Sus scrofa: one gene and its partner. The protein of the gene in region 2 interacts with the protein of the main gene of each other region in a biochemical or structural test. Links are inferred from orthologs where the notes say so. Each region holds a gene or a part of one and is shown on either strand. Other genes may lie near its edges.

What was found. The genes of interacting proteins can lie anywhere in the genome.
Region 1: the proteins of SNTA1 (region 2) and MAS1 interact in a test that uses a peptide from one of them, tested with the Homo sapiens proteins (2 studies listed by BioGRID and IntAct). The link is inferred for Sus scrofa from reciprocal best matches to the Homo sapiens genes SNTA1 and MAS1.

The regions. Positions count from the first base shown.
Region 1 is NC_010443.5:7,537,554-7,545,819, reverse strand, and holds the start of MAS1 (proto-oncogene Mas), read left to right. Parts: upstream 1-3,709; 5' UTR 3,710-4,040; intron 4,041-4,831; exon of another isoform or gene 4,832-5,405; intron 5,406-8,266. UniProt on the Homo sapiens protein: Receptor for angiotensin 1-7. Acts specifically as a functional antagonist of AGTR1 (angiotensin-2 type 1 receptor), although it up-regulates AGTR1 receptor levels.
Region 2 is NC_010459.5:36,915,295-36,922,001, forward strand, and holds the end of SNTA1 (alpha-1-syntrophin), read right to left. Parts: intron 6,440-6,707; coding exon 6,232-6,439; intron 6,090-6,231; coding exon 5,959-6,089; intron 3,789-5,958; coding exon 3,592-3,788; intron 2,888-3,591; coding exon 2,700-2,887; intron 2,616-2,699; coding exon 2,523-2,615; 3' UTR 1,982-2,522; downstream 1-1,981. UniProt on the Homo sapiens protein: Adapter protein that binds to and probably organizes the subcellular localization of a variety of membrane proteins. May link various receptors to the actin cytoskeleton and the extracellular matrix via the dystrophin glycoprotein complex.

The sequences.
Region 1 (8,266 bases), on a different chromosome or scaffold from region 2:
TAGGAACTCTGAAAACAGCCAATATTTGAAATCATGATGGATTTACTCAGCGTATTCCTTCCTTCAGCCAAACTGAGGCAAGTAAGGCATGGCCTCTGCCTTGTGGAGATAAGTGTTTGGGGACAAACAGACACATAAACAAGGAACTCATCCCATTCAGTAGGTGCTGTCATGGATGTTAGGCACTCCTCCGCCTGGCTCCAGAGTCACAGCTACCTGTGGGAGTCCCAGTATGCTAGTTTCTGTCATTTGAGGGTGACTTACTTTTTCAGTCTCCTCGAGGACACTGCAGATGAAAAAACAACATCGTCTGCCCAAATCTACAGTTACTGGCAGAAAAAGGACCACAAATACAAACTTAATGGTGTCCAAACGTGACCCTTGACAGCATTCATCGTTTCAAACCTTTTTCTTTTAAGCAGTGGTGTGGTGCATTTGCAAGGGGTGGGGGGTCAAAGAGATGTCTTCAGCCTTCCTAGTGGGACAAGGCAACCCCCAGTGACACGCTTTGGGGTGTTCGATTGACATAAACAAACTGGCTGCTGCTCAGAAGAGTCTCAGCTAAGCCTGACGCAGAAATCTCTCCAACGGGAGACCCTGGAGGCAGGCACAGGGAGGGGCGCCCGTTCCTACAGGAACGCAGTTTGGAGCTTTTTATGTCTCTCTCTTTTTTATAGAGCCTCTAAATGCTAGCTGATGAGTATCTCCAAAGGGTAATTTAGAAATTACAGTTTTACGAAGGGCCAAAACAATGCCGGCCAAGTATGCAGGGCTGAACCCGGGGAATATTTAGAACATCCAGAGGAATGGATAGACTCCATGTCCCAAGGCAAGGCTCCAAAAATACCCTTTCTCACAAGTGGCTTTTTTTTTTTTTTTGTGATGTTTAGACAAGGGAAAAATCACATGGTGACCATCTAGGTAAGGAATCTAGAAGGCGAAGTTGCCGATTAGATGCCAATGCAGGGCACGAGACGGTCCTTGTCTTACCATATAGGAACCTGCCCAACACTGGGTCTACACAGTGACCCCCACACCATGCATGTCCCCCTTGCTCCTTGGCGCCACAGCGGTCTCGATGGAGGATGTCTCACTCCATGTCTCACCTTCACATTCTCCTGCAAAGGTGCCCGTGCTGGGCTGGAAGAGTCTTCCTGGGAAGGTCCCGGGGAGCTCAGGGCTGGGGACCTAGCCTCCCGCAGCTGGGTCTCATCATCGGGGTCTCCCCGGGGGGCCACTTCCGCAGCCTCTTTGTGGGTTTGCCTCCCCTGGTGGCACCCCCTGCTCTGGGCTCCTCTCCCACCAGGCTGGCCCGGCTAGTTGGAGGAAAGCCAAGGGCAGCAGGGAGACAGTGCGTTTCTCAGTAAGACTGGATGTTTAAGAAATATGCCCTGAAAGCAAAGCTCCTCACTCGGGAGACACTCAACCGGGGCCAGGGTAGGCTAGGAGAAGCCGGGCGAAGAGTCCCTGAGGCTGATGGGATTCAGATCCGAGTGCCGTTCTCAGGGTTTTATCTTGTACTTTTATCTGGCCAGTGGGATCTGAAGTCCCTTTTGCAGGACTGGAGGGCAGAGGGCGGGGCCAGCCCTGCTCTGAGACACTGTCAATCAAACGGATGGGAGAAAGCATCACTCATCACTCTAGCCCAGCTCACAAGTCCAAATTTCTAGCATACCTGAGCTTGTTCTGCTGCCAAATGGTGGCCCGAGACAACTCGTGCTGAACTGGTTGCCCACCACCTTGAGGGGCTGCAGGCTTCATCCCTGACTCAGGGGATGCCCCACCCATCGCCCTTCTCTCAGTCCGAGCAGCCCACCCCCTCACTGCGCCCACTCTCACATCTTTCTTGCGTTAAGGGGAATGCTGGGCTTTTGTCTCCCCATAACCAGGGGCTTAACATCTAAGGTCAAGTAGAGATCCTTCCCTCCAGGGACAAGGACATTCTAGGATGTGACTGGAAGTCACTGGGCATCCCCAGGGTCAGCACTGAGCATTGAGAGGCTTTGTTTACTTATTTGTTTTCTTTTTAGGGCCACACCCATAGCATATAGAAGCTCCCAGGCTAGGGGTTTGAATGGGAGCTGCAGCTACTGGCTTACACCCCAGCCACAGCAATACTGGATCTGAACCACGTCTACAGCCTATACCACAGCTCACGGCAATGCCAGATCCTTAACCCACTGAGCGAGGCCAGGGATCGAACCTGCATCCTCATGGATACTGGTCAAATTGGTTTCGGCTGCTCCACAACGGGAATTCCACATCACAGGAGGTGAACTCTAGTTCCCTGTGCTCTACAGTAGGACCTTGTAATTTGTCCATCCTGTATGTATTAGTTTGCCTCTGCTAGTCTCAAACTCCCAGTCCTTCCCTCCTCCCCTCCCCCTTGGCAGCCAGAAGTCTGTTCTCTGTGAGCCTGTTTCTGGTTTGTTGATAAGTTCATTTGTGTCATATTTTAGATTCCAATGTAAGTGATATCATATGGTATTTGTCTTTCTCTGACTGAGTTCACTTAGCATGAGAATCTCTAGGTCCATCCATATAGATGCAAATGGCATTCTTTCGTTCTTTTTAACGGCTGAGTAGTATTCCATTATGTATTTGTACTACGTCTTCTTTATCCAGTTCTCTACTGATGGACATTTAGGGTGTTTCCATGTCTTGGCTATTGTGACTAGTGCTGCAATGAACATAGAGGTGCATGTATCTTTTTGAATTAGAGTTTTGTCCACATATATGCCTAGGAGTGGGATTGCTGGATCATATGGCAACTCTTAAGGGTAAACTCTTGATGGGAGAAAGGAATTGTACCCTGTGTGGGTCTACTTGTGGGTTCCACCACCCAACGGGTCCACCGCTCATGGCTTCCCCCACTTATGGTCCCCTCCTTGGCCTCCTTGGCTGCTGAGCTTCCTCCTTCCTCAATTCTGCAAAGCTCTCCCGCAGCCCATCTCCACCAAGTTCCCCTGTTGTTTGATGGGAGAAAGAAGGTTGCTGCTTCCCTCGGGAACTCGTGGAGGTGAGAGCTAGAACGTCCCTCCACCCTGGACATTTGGGAACGTCGTCCCTTCATTCTTCCAGGCTCGGCTGGCTCTGGTTCCCCATCTTTCTACACCTCCCTCCCCTACACCCCCCCGACCTCGCGAGAGGAGGATGATTACTCACAAAGACCAGCCAGGCACGGAAATAGCCAACCTATTTGTGGCTTAAATGCAAGCAGTTTTATTTTTACAGAGAGTTGCTGTATTTTCTCTAAGTATAAATCATTAGCTACCGCAAGTGAAACTCCGGCTCCATCTGCGAGAGTTCCTGCTTTTGTTAGTGGTGCCAATTAGTCACAAAACAATCAGTGCCTTCTGCTGCCCACTCCCTCCGGGGGAAGAGAGTGCCATCTCTGCCAGGCTCCCCACCCCGCCCCACCCCAGCGGCCACCCCCACCCCGTAACTGCTTCCCCTACCTGGACCCCATCTGGCCACTCCAGGTACCCCTTCCTGCTGCCTGCTCCTCGTGCACCTTGTGATGGTTGCCAGTTTCCAGAGGGGTGCCTTGTGGCCCTCTGCAGGATGCACAGGCGCCCCTGTGCTGTTAGGAGCCGGGAGAGGCAACTCCGAGAGGCCCCGTGTTCTGTTGACTTAAATCATGACGTCGGAGCCTTCCTTTCTGTTGGCCCCACTGCTCAGGGTTTCACAGCCCCCGCGGGGACCGGGGGAAGTGCTCACAGGATCTGGGCCGTCCCTGGGCTCCTGGGAAGCAGCCGACGTGGAGCCCGGGAGCAGAGTGCCCCGCTGTCCTTCCGTGCTCTTTCCCTTCTGGTCCCTTCCTTCTCACCCGTGACCTTGGCGCCTCCTGGGCCAGCCTGTCTTTCTCCCCTCATTGCGCTTGCTTCCCAGTGTCTGATCCTCCGAGGGCGCCTTCCCCTCTTCCTGGCCATTCGCCTTAGACGGTGGTCCCGCTTTTCCCGGCCGCTTCTGATTTTCCTCTGGGAAATGTCCAGTTCTTCAGGAGGCTGACCCTTCCTCCCTTGGAACATCCAGAACAGGTAATGAGAACACACACACTGGCCTCCCAGGACTGAGCTCCCCCAACGTTTTGACTCGATGCACCTGCCTAACCATAGATGCCGCAAGCTCCCCTGGGTTTCCCTGTGGCTTGAAGGTCTATAGGGGCCGAGCCCTGGCCACCCTCTCCTCTTCCCACAGGAGGACACAGCCACAGGTCAGGTTTCACACAAGAGCCGCCTGGGTCACTGTCCGTCTTGTGCGTATGAAAGCGGTCCGAGGAAGGCTGCGTGTGTGGGTCGCGGAGCCTGCTTTCCCTCAGCATCTGAAGCTGCCTTCTTGCCCTCTTCTGAGTTAATCAACCCCAGGAGTCCACTGTTACTTTGACCCCATAACCGTGAAGGAAGGCTTCTGAAATAGAAGCAATAAATGCTGCTGTGAATGGGGGTCGGCGGGGAGGGTCTCACCGCAGGGCTTGGCTACAGAGACCATCCAGAACCTCTGGCTTGGCCTTGGCACCTTCACACCGGGTCTGCTGAAAAAGCGAATGGGGTCAGGGTGGGGGGAAGCAGCTTGACTGCATGGGTGAGAATGCACATCTAGCAGGGACAGTCTTTGAACCAGGCTGAAGATCACGCTGGGCCCCGAGGCTCCTCCACGCCTCGACCCCAGCCCCTGGGCTCCCTCTCCCTCCACTGCCTCACTCATACACACCCACGTGGGTGTGAGACGCCCTGAAAATGCACTGCAGGAAGGGAACGGGTATTTAATTGTTTAACAACCTGGCCCTCGCTGTGCAGGTGCAGACACATATCTCATTCAACCACCGTGAGTTTCCGTGGCCACGATTAGCTCCATTTTACAGGTGACAAAACTGAGTCTTCCAGAGCTTGGCGGAAATCACTGGGCTAGCTCCAGGCTGAGTCAGGAATGGGAGCTGGGTCCCTCTCGTGCTGCTACACACACACTTTTGCCCTTCCACGCGGCCCCACTCTGGGCCGTCTTTCTCCTCAGCCCTGACTGGCCCTCGTGGTTCGAGGGGGTCAGGCACCTCGTGTGATCATTAGTTCCCACTCGGGATCGGCATGAAGATTTTCACTGGCGTGTGTCACCGAATGATGCCATTTGAAGCACAGCTTCTGCTGATAAGCGTGGGACCATCTGCTTGGCACATCTCAAATATTTTCAGCAGTGGGAGAGCAGCTCCGATTTCTCCCGAGAAGGGAGGCTGCAGTCATCCTCGGAGGAGATGCTGGGACCGGAGACCCTGCAGGCTGGCGGGGCAGTGGTGCCCTAGGATGCGTAGGGCCAGCCTCCCGCCCACCACCCCTGCCTCTCCCTGAGCGAATGGACCTCGTGAGCCTGCACCCCGGTTTTGCCTTGTTCAGCGGCCCTTGACAACCAGAGTAAGCGTCCCCTCTTCAAAAAGCTATTGCCAGGCACCTCTTTCTGTGCTGGTTGTTTGCCTCTTGTGTTAGATGTTCGGTGTGTGTCGGCAAAGACCACTATTTTCCTGCCTTCGTTTTGGAAAATCTGCCTCTTTGCTACACTAGCGGTCCCTCGGACGGCGTTTTACAACTTCGGGGTTGAAACTTTCTGTGTTAACTTTTTCTTTTGGATGCGTAATGAGGGGGCAAGGACCTTAGACGCAATCTATGGATGCGGTGGTAGGTTTGAAGGTACTTGAGGTTGTTTGATGGGTTGTTGTACCTGCCAGAGCCATTGGGGTTGGAAGGGCACCGTATGGGATTCCTCCAGGGAAATGCTTGATGGTGGGAGGCGAGCTGGACTGATTTTCCCCTGCCTCTCCTCAGCGGGCACCGGCTTTTGTGTTGGCTTTTGCTGCTTATAACGGCAGGTGTGTAGCCTGTGCGGTGGCACAGTTCTGCTGAAAGGGCTCCCCTGCTCTTTGATGTGAGTGTCTTGGCCATGTTTCCCAGGCGGGCTGGGAGGGGGAAGCTGGGGAGAGAACGTGCAGGAGCTGGTCTGATGGCTCCGTAGGCAGCACTGAAAGGCTGGTGGCAAGTCTGCTCCAGGTGCCGCAGCCTTGGCACCATGACATCTGGGGCCAGAAATTCTTGGTTGTAGGCAGCTCTTATGTGCAGTGTAGGGTGTTTACAGAATCCCTGGCCCCAGCCCACGAGACGCCGGTAGCCTCCTCCTCTCAGTGTGACAATCGAAATGTCAACTATCCCCTAGGAGACAGAGTCACCCCCCGCCCCCACGTCCTTATGAGAAGAGGGCTCTAAGTTGACCCTGCTGTGCACTTGGAAAGGGAGCAAGAAGTTTCTGCTTCTCCATGCAGGTGGCTTCCGTGTTGGAGGCTGGGAACTGGTGTTTAACCACAGGCCAGATGTTCCTCCTGGCACATTCCTCCCGGATCCCGTACCTGCCATGGAAAGTCCATCTCCCAAATGGGTTTCTGTTTGTCCAGGTTTCTGCACACACACAGAGGGAATGGTTTGCCCTTGTCTCTGGAGCTGCACACCTGGAAGGTCCAGCCTGGAGTCAGGCTTCTCCTTTTGGTTGCCTAGAAACAAGACAAGGTTTCAGATGGCCCACCTCGGACCTTGATTTTGTTGGCTTCTCTCTCTTTTCCTGTCATTTCCTTTCTTCCTCCCTCCTTCCCTCCCTCTGGCCCTCGCCCACCCCTCCCTCCCTTCTGCCCTCCTTTCCTTCCTTCTTTTCTTTTAAGAATGATGTCATAGACTGGAATCCAGGACCCCGGGAGGACAGTAAGCATCTGAATGGGAAGGTGAAAAGGGATGCTTGCCTCTGAGATCTTTAGAGAAAATTGCAGCAAGCATGTTAAGTAGAGCATTTAAACTCTGCCTTATGCGTCCTTCCAGCGGAGCCCCCACTCCCGATCGCTACCCTCTTTGCTCCTTCCTGCTTTCCCAGCAGCGTCCCTGTCCAGCTGTTCTGCCCAACTTACATGGAGCCGTAAATGTAGGTAGCAATTTCAAGAAGACGGGCCAACCCACATCCTGCAACATCTGTGGAAACCACCATGTCTGTTTTCCTTGCTTGTCCATTTCTGGTCCCAGTGTGGCATTTCCATGAGACTCGCATGGGCAAGGTGTTTTTTAGTCTCTAGCTTTCCTTACGCCCCAGGCTTCCAGAAACACAGTAAATGATGTGCCAACTGTGTGAAGGGCCTGCGGTTCAGAGGGGCTGAGCTGCATGGCTTAGGACTCACATCCAGTGGTCTGTTGAGGGAGAGTGTGGCTCCGAGACAGAGCGAACTAGGCGCAGGCAGAAGAGACCATGGCCCCAGCAATGTCACTTGAACAACGACAAACCTCTTATTCAGACGTCTCTTTTGTACTCAGATGCCTTACTGCTTACAATTCTTTCGCCGTTTGCGGGAGGGGGTGAGTGTGAAGCATGGCTTGCGTGAGGTGGTGGAGCCTGAGCTGGTGGAGGACGCCTCCCTGGGGTGAGGGAGGTGGTGGTGACCTGGCCGGGCAAGGGCGGCATCTGCCTGGCAGGGGAGGGGACCTGGGGTCAAGTTCAGAGCTTCTGCTGGGTGAGGAGTACGTCCCAGGGCAGGACATAGTGGCAGTGGTGGCCTGACTTGAGGTGCAAGAGCCCAGCGAGGGGGGGAGGGCATCTGCGCAGGGCTGGGGGAGCGGCAGGTGGACGCAGGAGAGGAGGGATCGAATACGTGAACCCACTGAGGAGGACGGAGCCAGGAGCCAGGATCCAGGTTTCTCACCATCAGAGACAGGAATGACAAACACGGAGAGGAAGAAAACTCAGCGGAACTGTGTTGGATCAGATATTGGGGTGAAATCATTGGCATTCAATGCGTGTGTGCGTTTGTGTGGGGAAAGACGTAGAAATATAGATGCCAGGGTGTGTATGTACGACTGCACATGTGTCTTCACATGCACGTGCCCCTTAGCTCTGTGCCCTGGGAGGGCCTGAGAGCAGTGACACCGTAAGAGCAGTGGGTCCACCCAGCGTCCAGATCTTGGCTTCTACGTTCCCTTCTCTACTGAAAGGAGCCAGGGCTTCTTGGAGAAATGGGTGACTCTAGGCGCTGGTGAAGGGAACCTACAAGATGAGCAGAGCCTGGTCAAACATTCAGTTTTTTTTGGCCTGGAAGACGAAAAATACCAGAGGGAGCATGGAACAGCGGGAAAGGTCTGATTTCTGTTTTGGATCTGCTGAAGTTGGAGAGCGGCCACAGGAGGCCCAGTCCGAGACATCCAGGGCTCTGAGTTAGAGGGTCTGATGTCCCGGAGAGCTGAGTTAGAACAGG
Region 2 (6,707 bases):
TTTTTGTTTTTTTTTGGGGGGCACGCCTGCGGCATATGGAGGTTCCCAGGCTAAGGGTCGAATCAGAGCTGTAGCCACTGGCCTATGCCACAGCCACAGCAATGCAGGATCCAAGCCACGTCTTCGACCCATACCACAGCTCGTGACAACACCAGATCCTTAACCCACTGAGTGAGGCCAGGGATTGAAACTGCATCCTCATGGATGCTAGTCAGATTCATTTCCACTGAGCCACAATGGGAACTCCCCAAACTTTCATTTTCAACTGTAAATTTTACTAAATCTAAATTCCAATCAAAGATTTCCAATGAAAATCCATAATCTGAATAGAGACGTGCTATAAATATAAAATATACACCAGATTTTGAAGACTTAATATGAGAAAAAGTATAAAACATTTCATTAATAGATGTTTATATTATGTGTTAAAGTGATAATGTTTTAGATCTATTAGGTTAAATAAAGTATATTATTTAAATTATTTTCATCTTTTTTTTTTTTACTTTCAAAAATGTGGCTACTAGAAAATTGGTAATTACACATGTGGCTTGCACTATATTTCTAGTGGATAGTACAGGAGCAGAAGGTCTCTAAGATGAAAAGGAGCTCTGAAGTCAGAAAAAAACCCGTTGCTTTTTTTTTTTTTTTTTTTTTTTGCCATGCCCATGGCACATGGAAGTTCCCAGACCAGAGATCGAACCAAGCCACTGCAGTGACAACACCTTAACCCACTGGGCCACAAGAGAACTCCTAGACAGACTAGTCTGAAGTCAACCTCAGACATTTCATAGCTGTGTGACTTTGGGCAAGTCATTCTCCCCCTCTGAGCCCCAATTTCCTTACCTGTGAAATGGAGATTGCTGTGCCTACCATGCAAGTGTGTGGTGAGGATCCAATGAGGAAATATATACACAGTGCCTAGCCAATAGCAGGCACTCTCTAAATGTGAACTGTCGTTACTGTTGTCACTGTGATTTTCCAGACAATGCAAGCAAGTAGGACTTACATGCAGCCAGACTGGTATAGCTTCCCTCAAAAAAACGTTCCACAAAACACACACTAAACATCCCTCCTTCCTCAGGAAAGGGGTCAGAGACTCTCTAGGATGGTTTTTATTTAATTTTTCTTTTTCAGCCACATCCACAGCATGTGGAAGTTCCAAGGCCAGAAATCGAATCCAAGCCAAGCTGCAACCTATGCCACAGCTTCAACAATGCCAGCTCCTTAACCCATTGTGCCAGGCTGGAGACCCAACTGGCGCCTCCACAGAGACAAGCAGGATCATTAATCCCCTGTGCCCACAGCGGGAACTCCTTTATGATGGTTTTTAAATAGGTTCATAAATTCTTTGACATTCTTTTCTTCAAGAGGTGGAGACCAATTCCCCTCCCCTGGAGCATGAGCTGGGATTAGTGACTCACTTCTCATGAACAGAATAAAGTAAAAGTGACAGCATGTGACATCAAAGACTAGGTGATAAAAGGCGCTGTGCATTCCTCTTGGTTCTCTCTTCTGTGTCATTCGCTCTGGGGGAAGCCAGATGCCTTGTTATAAGCACACTGGAGCAGCCCTATGGTCAGGCCCATGGGGTGAGGAACTAGTGCTTCCTGCCAACAGCCAAGGGTCAGGAATATTAGAAAGAGATCCCCTAGCCCCAGGCAAGCCTTTAGATGAGGACAGCCCCAGCTGACACCTTAACCATAGCCTCATGAAAGACCCTGAGACAAGATCAACCCACCTTAGCCCCTTCTCAAATTCCTAATCCACAGAACTTGCAAGATAATACATGTTCATTGTTTTAAACTGCTAAATTTAGGGGTAATTTGTCAGGCCATTGTAGATAATCAATAGATTCTTTGGCCCTGTGGTTAAAGGTCTGCTCTACTTAGGGAAAGAGGCTCCAATCCTGGGTCTGGTCCATCTTGGGACTACAGGGGCCACCACATGATCCACAGGCCAAGACACAAACCACAGACACTGGGCCAGGCTCCCTGTGTGCTCACAGGCTGTTTATTTACCCAAGAGTAAGGGGGAAAGAGAAGATGAAGAGAAAAACCAGACGCCCCACGGTGGTGGGGCTGAGGGGAGAGATGAACGGAAAGGTTCCTCTTCCTCTTGCCATAGACCCGGGGGAACTCCAGCTTTGGTGGGGGGGTCTCGGGGGACAGTTTAGGGGCCCCAAGAAGGCCAGGCAGTTGTTGGCTGGGGTCAGGATCCCCACAGGGGCAGGTCCCAGGCTCGGAATGGCTTCTGTGTACAAAAAAATACCTCTCCACAAAAGGCACTGGTGGGGGGTGGGGGGGGTAGCAGAGAGGCTACCCCACCATGGGCAGGATCCACTGTGTCCTGAGTCTGGGTCCCAGTCCCCAAGACTATCCCCAGCCTCCCTTGGGGGCTGGGTCTCTGCATCCTTGCTCCTTTCCTCTCCCTTCCCTCGGCCCAGTGGTAAGCAGGCAATCCGAGGGCCATGTCAGGCCCCGTGGTGAACACCCCATCTTCAGGGCTAATGCGTCTGACAACCTCTAGGCCAGGAGCCCCAGGCGGGTGACTTTGGCTGAGAGGAAGGAGTGGATGATGAAGACCATCGTTTTGGGGCACGAATGCAGGTCCAGCTGCTGCAGGGTGGATGGAGAGAAGGGTCAGGAGCCCCAGCCAGCCCAGCCTCCAGGAGAACAGAGCCCCCATCCCCCTCCACTCACAATTTCTCCTTCAGGGCCCCCGAAGTCCAGGAAAAGGAGACTGGCACCATCGTCAGAAGACATCTGCAGCTTCTCAAAGGGCTGTCGGAGCAGTACAGCTCGGGCCGCACCTGGCTCAGCCGCCCACAGTGTGAAGCCTTTGTCAATATGCACCGAGAGGCTGCAGGGCCGGCCGTTCCACGTGCAGGCTGCGGGGAGGGCGAGGACACAGGGAGGGCATGTGGGCATGCGCAGAACGGCATCTCAGAGACCACAAAAGTGGGGCTTGCATGCCGCCGGCAGGTGGGAGGCTCACTGTCTGTCGTGCCATTTGTACACCCACCCTGTAGAGCATCACTCTCACTCTAAAATACAGAAGGATGTGCGGGCAGAAAATCTGTAGCCCATGTTCAGTCCCACTTCCAACAGGACCAAAGGTGGAAGAGGGAGCGTCAACTCTGCCAGGGACAGGAGGACCGCTCCCGATAAAGGCATCGGCAGATGCACCAAGCATGGCCTTCAGAGACCTTAGACGCCTGTAGACTCGCCCAGTTAAATGTGAATCTGACACAAGCAATGGAGAATGTGGACATATTTATACTAAACAATTATTTGTTATTTACCTGAAATTCAAATCTAAGGGGGTGTCCTGTATTTTTTCTGGCAAGCCTACTCCAACTGCCATCTCTCATATCCTCACCATCGGAGTCACAAAGCCAGGACAAGAAAACCCCCATGAGAAAAGAGGCTCACTACCTAGCAGGGCACCTGTACATCCAAAACAGAGGGCCCTCAGAGACCCCAAATCCCACTCTCTATCCCCCTCCTGAAGCACCCTAAAGAAGGCAGCTGAATGCCCCTGGGGATAAGAGGCTCACTGCCAAAAAGGCACTCCCAGATCCACCCAGCCCACCTGTAGACACCTCCTGCACACCCTCAGCGGCCCGGTGACAGCCATCCACCAGCTGGCGGGTCCAGGCAGCCAGCTCCTGCGGTGACTCCACGCTGAACAGGTGAGTGTCCACACCGTGGCGCGTGCCCGTGCGCAGGGCAAAAGAGAGCTCTGCATCGTAGGGCACCGAGCCCTTGGCGGGGCCTGAGTGCACCAGCCTGGGGGCAGGGGGCAGAGGGCCAGGCATGAGGCCTCGGGCAGTGGGGAAGCAGTTCTGAGCCAAGGGGGTGGTGACCTGGGAAGAGACCCTGCGACTCCTTCCCCACCTAATGGGGGACCAGGACTTTCAGACGGCCACTGATTGCGTCACATGAGATATCTCCTGCCACCCTCTCCCTCACTCCCTGGGCTCCAGCTGTACTGGTGTCTTCAAGCACACTTCCACCCCAGTGCCTTTGCACACGCTGTGACCTCTGCCTGGCACACGATTCCCTGATTACCTGCATTGCTTACTCCCTCACTTCCTTCGGTCCTTTGCTCAAATGCCATCTCCTCTGAGAAGCCTTCCCTGACCCCTCTGATTCAAACAGCACCCCTTCCTGTCATTCACTAACCTTATCTTTCTTGATAGTATCAGAAATTATAATTATTTTTATTGTTTCAGCTGACTTTTATTTTCAGGGCCACACCCATGGCATATGTTAGTTCCCAGGCCAGGGGTCAAATCGAAGCTGCAGGCTCTGGCCTATGCCACAGCCACAGCAATGCCAGATCCAAGCCACATCTGAGACCTGTGCCACAGCTTGCAACAATGCTGTGAGGCCAGGGATCCAACCTGCATCCTCACAGACACTATATCGGGTTCTTACCCCACTGAGCCACAACAGGAACTCCTGTTTCAGGTGACTTTTGATAGTCTTTTTCTCTAGAATACTATCTAGGGTACAGAATGTTGTCTAATTTTTACCACTATATTCCCAGCAACTAAAACAACACCAGGCATATACTAGGTGCTCAGTAAACATGTGTGGCCTGAATTAACGAGTCACTTGATTAGGTAGACAGACCATCCATGACTGCTTATCCCTAGTGGGGATAGGCGGCGGGTTCCTGACACATGCACCAGAGCCCAGCCCGGGGTGAGAAGACATGAACAACAAGGGCCCGGACTCTGCTGGCTGACTCCTACTTGCTGTGCAACTTGGGCAGCTCACTGCCCCTCTCTGGGCAGCAGACCTCAGAGTTCTGGCCCTTAACCCTCTTTGCCCCTCACTTCACATACTTTCTCTCATAGCTTCAGTTCCCCTTTAGAGCCACTTCTGATACTCAGTCCCCCACTTTCCAGCCCTAAGCTATAGACCCACAAGTCCCCAAGTTTCCTAACCAAGCTCCCTACCTGTCCCCCACACACTTTGGACTAACTCAGCTTCTTGTGCCAACCCCCTCCCTTTGTACACCACCCACAGCCCCACAGCCCACTCAGCACAAGCTCCCAACCTCACGTTTCTCCATTTATCCGGACACCTCCCGCACCCTTCCCATCTGGCAAGTCCTAAGCCCAGTTAATTTTACCAGCCCTGTGTTTTCCAATGCAAATGCGGCCTTTCTTCTCCATCTGTTGCCTCCACCCACCTCCACCCTCTCTCCAGTGTAAGTGCAGCAGCCTCCCGCTTCCATCCCCTCCTCCAGGGCATCTTCCACGTGGCAGCCACAGGGATTCTTTTAAAACACAACCTGAGCCACCTCACTCCGAGGCTAAAACTCCTCAAGTCTGCCCCAGCTTTTAAGATAAGGCTAACATTCCTTAACCAGGCAACAGAAGCTCTGCAAGATCAGGCCCCGCCACCCTTCTTTCCATTTCCTACACAGATTTCACACACTGGTTATAGGACATGTGTAGCTCCAGGAGCATGCACTGGCCCTTTGTGCCTCTGCACCTTGGACTATGCTGTCCCCTCTATGTGAGGTGCTTTTTCACCCTTTCTTAAATAGCAAACATCTACTCATCCACCAAAGTCCAGCTCCAATGTCACCTTCTGCCTGAAGCCTACCCCACCAGGCCAGGTAGAGTCAAGTGGTCCCTACAACTCTGGTCAAAGCTGTTCCTGGGTCAGTCTGCCTCTCAGGCTGGGTACCCCCTGAGGCAGAGACCATGGGGGTCAGCTATGCAGCACAAAATTGGGCGGAGTAGGTGACAACAAATGCGTGACTGGCAGGAACTCACATCCTTCTGTTCAGAGTTCCCATTTCACAGATGAGGAAACCAGGGCCCAGACAGGGCAGAGACTCAGGGCAGAATGGGGCTGGAGTCCCCAGCTTCTGACGTCCATCTAGAGCCTCACCCCCAAGCTCTGGGTGGGACACACACTCTTGCCTGTCCGAGGATACCTGGTGGTGATGAGCGGGGCGGTGCGGGCCGGCCGGCTCAGGGCCTCACGGGTCTGGGGGAGACAGTTGTAGAGGAGCAGCTCCTTTTCAGTCAGCAGGGCCAAGGTGGGTGCTGTACCCCCACTGGGCAGCTGCAGGGGGCAAGGCAGCAGTGAGGAGGGATAGGGAGGGGAGACATCAGAGGAACAGGGTGGGGTGAGACAGGGAGGGGCAAAGGGATTGGGGTCAGCTCCAGGAGAAGGGAGGAAAGGATAAGTTCAGGCCAGCTGGCACCTGCTCAGTCAGCCAGCCTATCTGCTTGATGTCCTGGCTCCCGGCTGTGCCGGTGGCTGACATCAGCGCCTGCAGCTCGTCTTTGACCCGGGGCACCAGAGCGTTGACCTGGGCTTGGATGGCAGCTGCCCATGACTTTGCGCTAGCCTCGTCCTTGGCCCTCAGGAATAGCGTGTCTTGGCCATCTGCTGAACAGATCTCCAGATACCTGCAGGCACAAATGAGGTAGAGGGGAGGGCCTGTCCACTGGGCTGCAGCTGCCCAGCCCCGAAATCTGGCCTGAACAACCGCATCTACTGAAAAAGCAGAAGAAACCACAGGGGAGGAGTTCCCACTGTGGCTCAGTAGTAACAAACCCAACTAGTATCCGTGAGGACTTGGGTTCCATCCCTGGCCTTGCTCAGTGGGTTAAGGATCCAGCGTTGCCATGAGCTGTGGTGTAGGTCACAGATGCGGCTTGGATCCCGCGTTGCTAT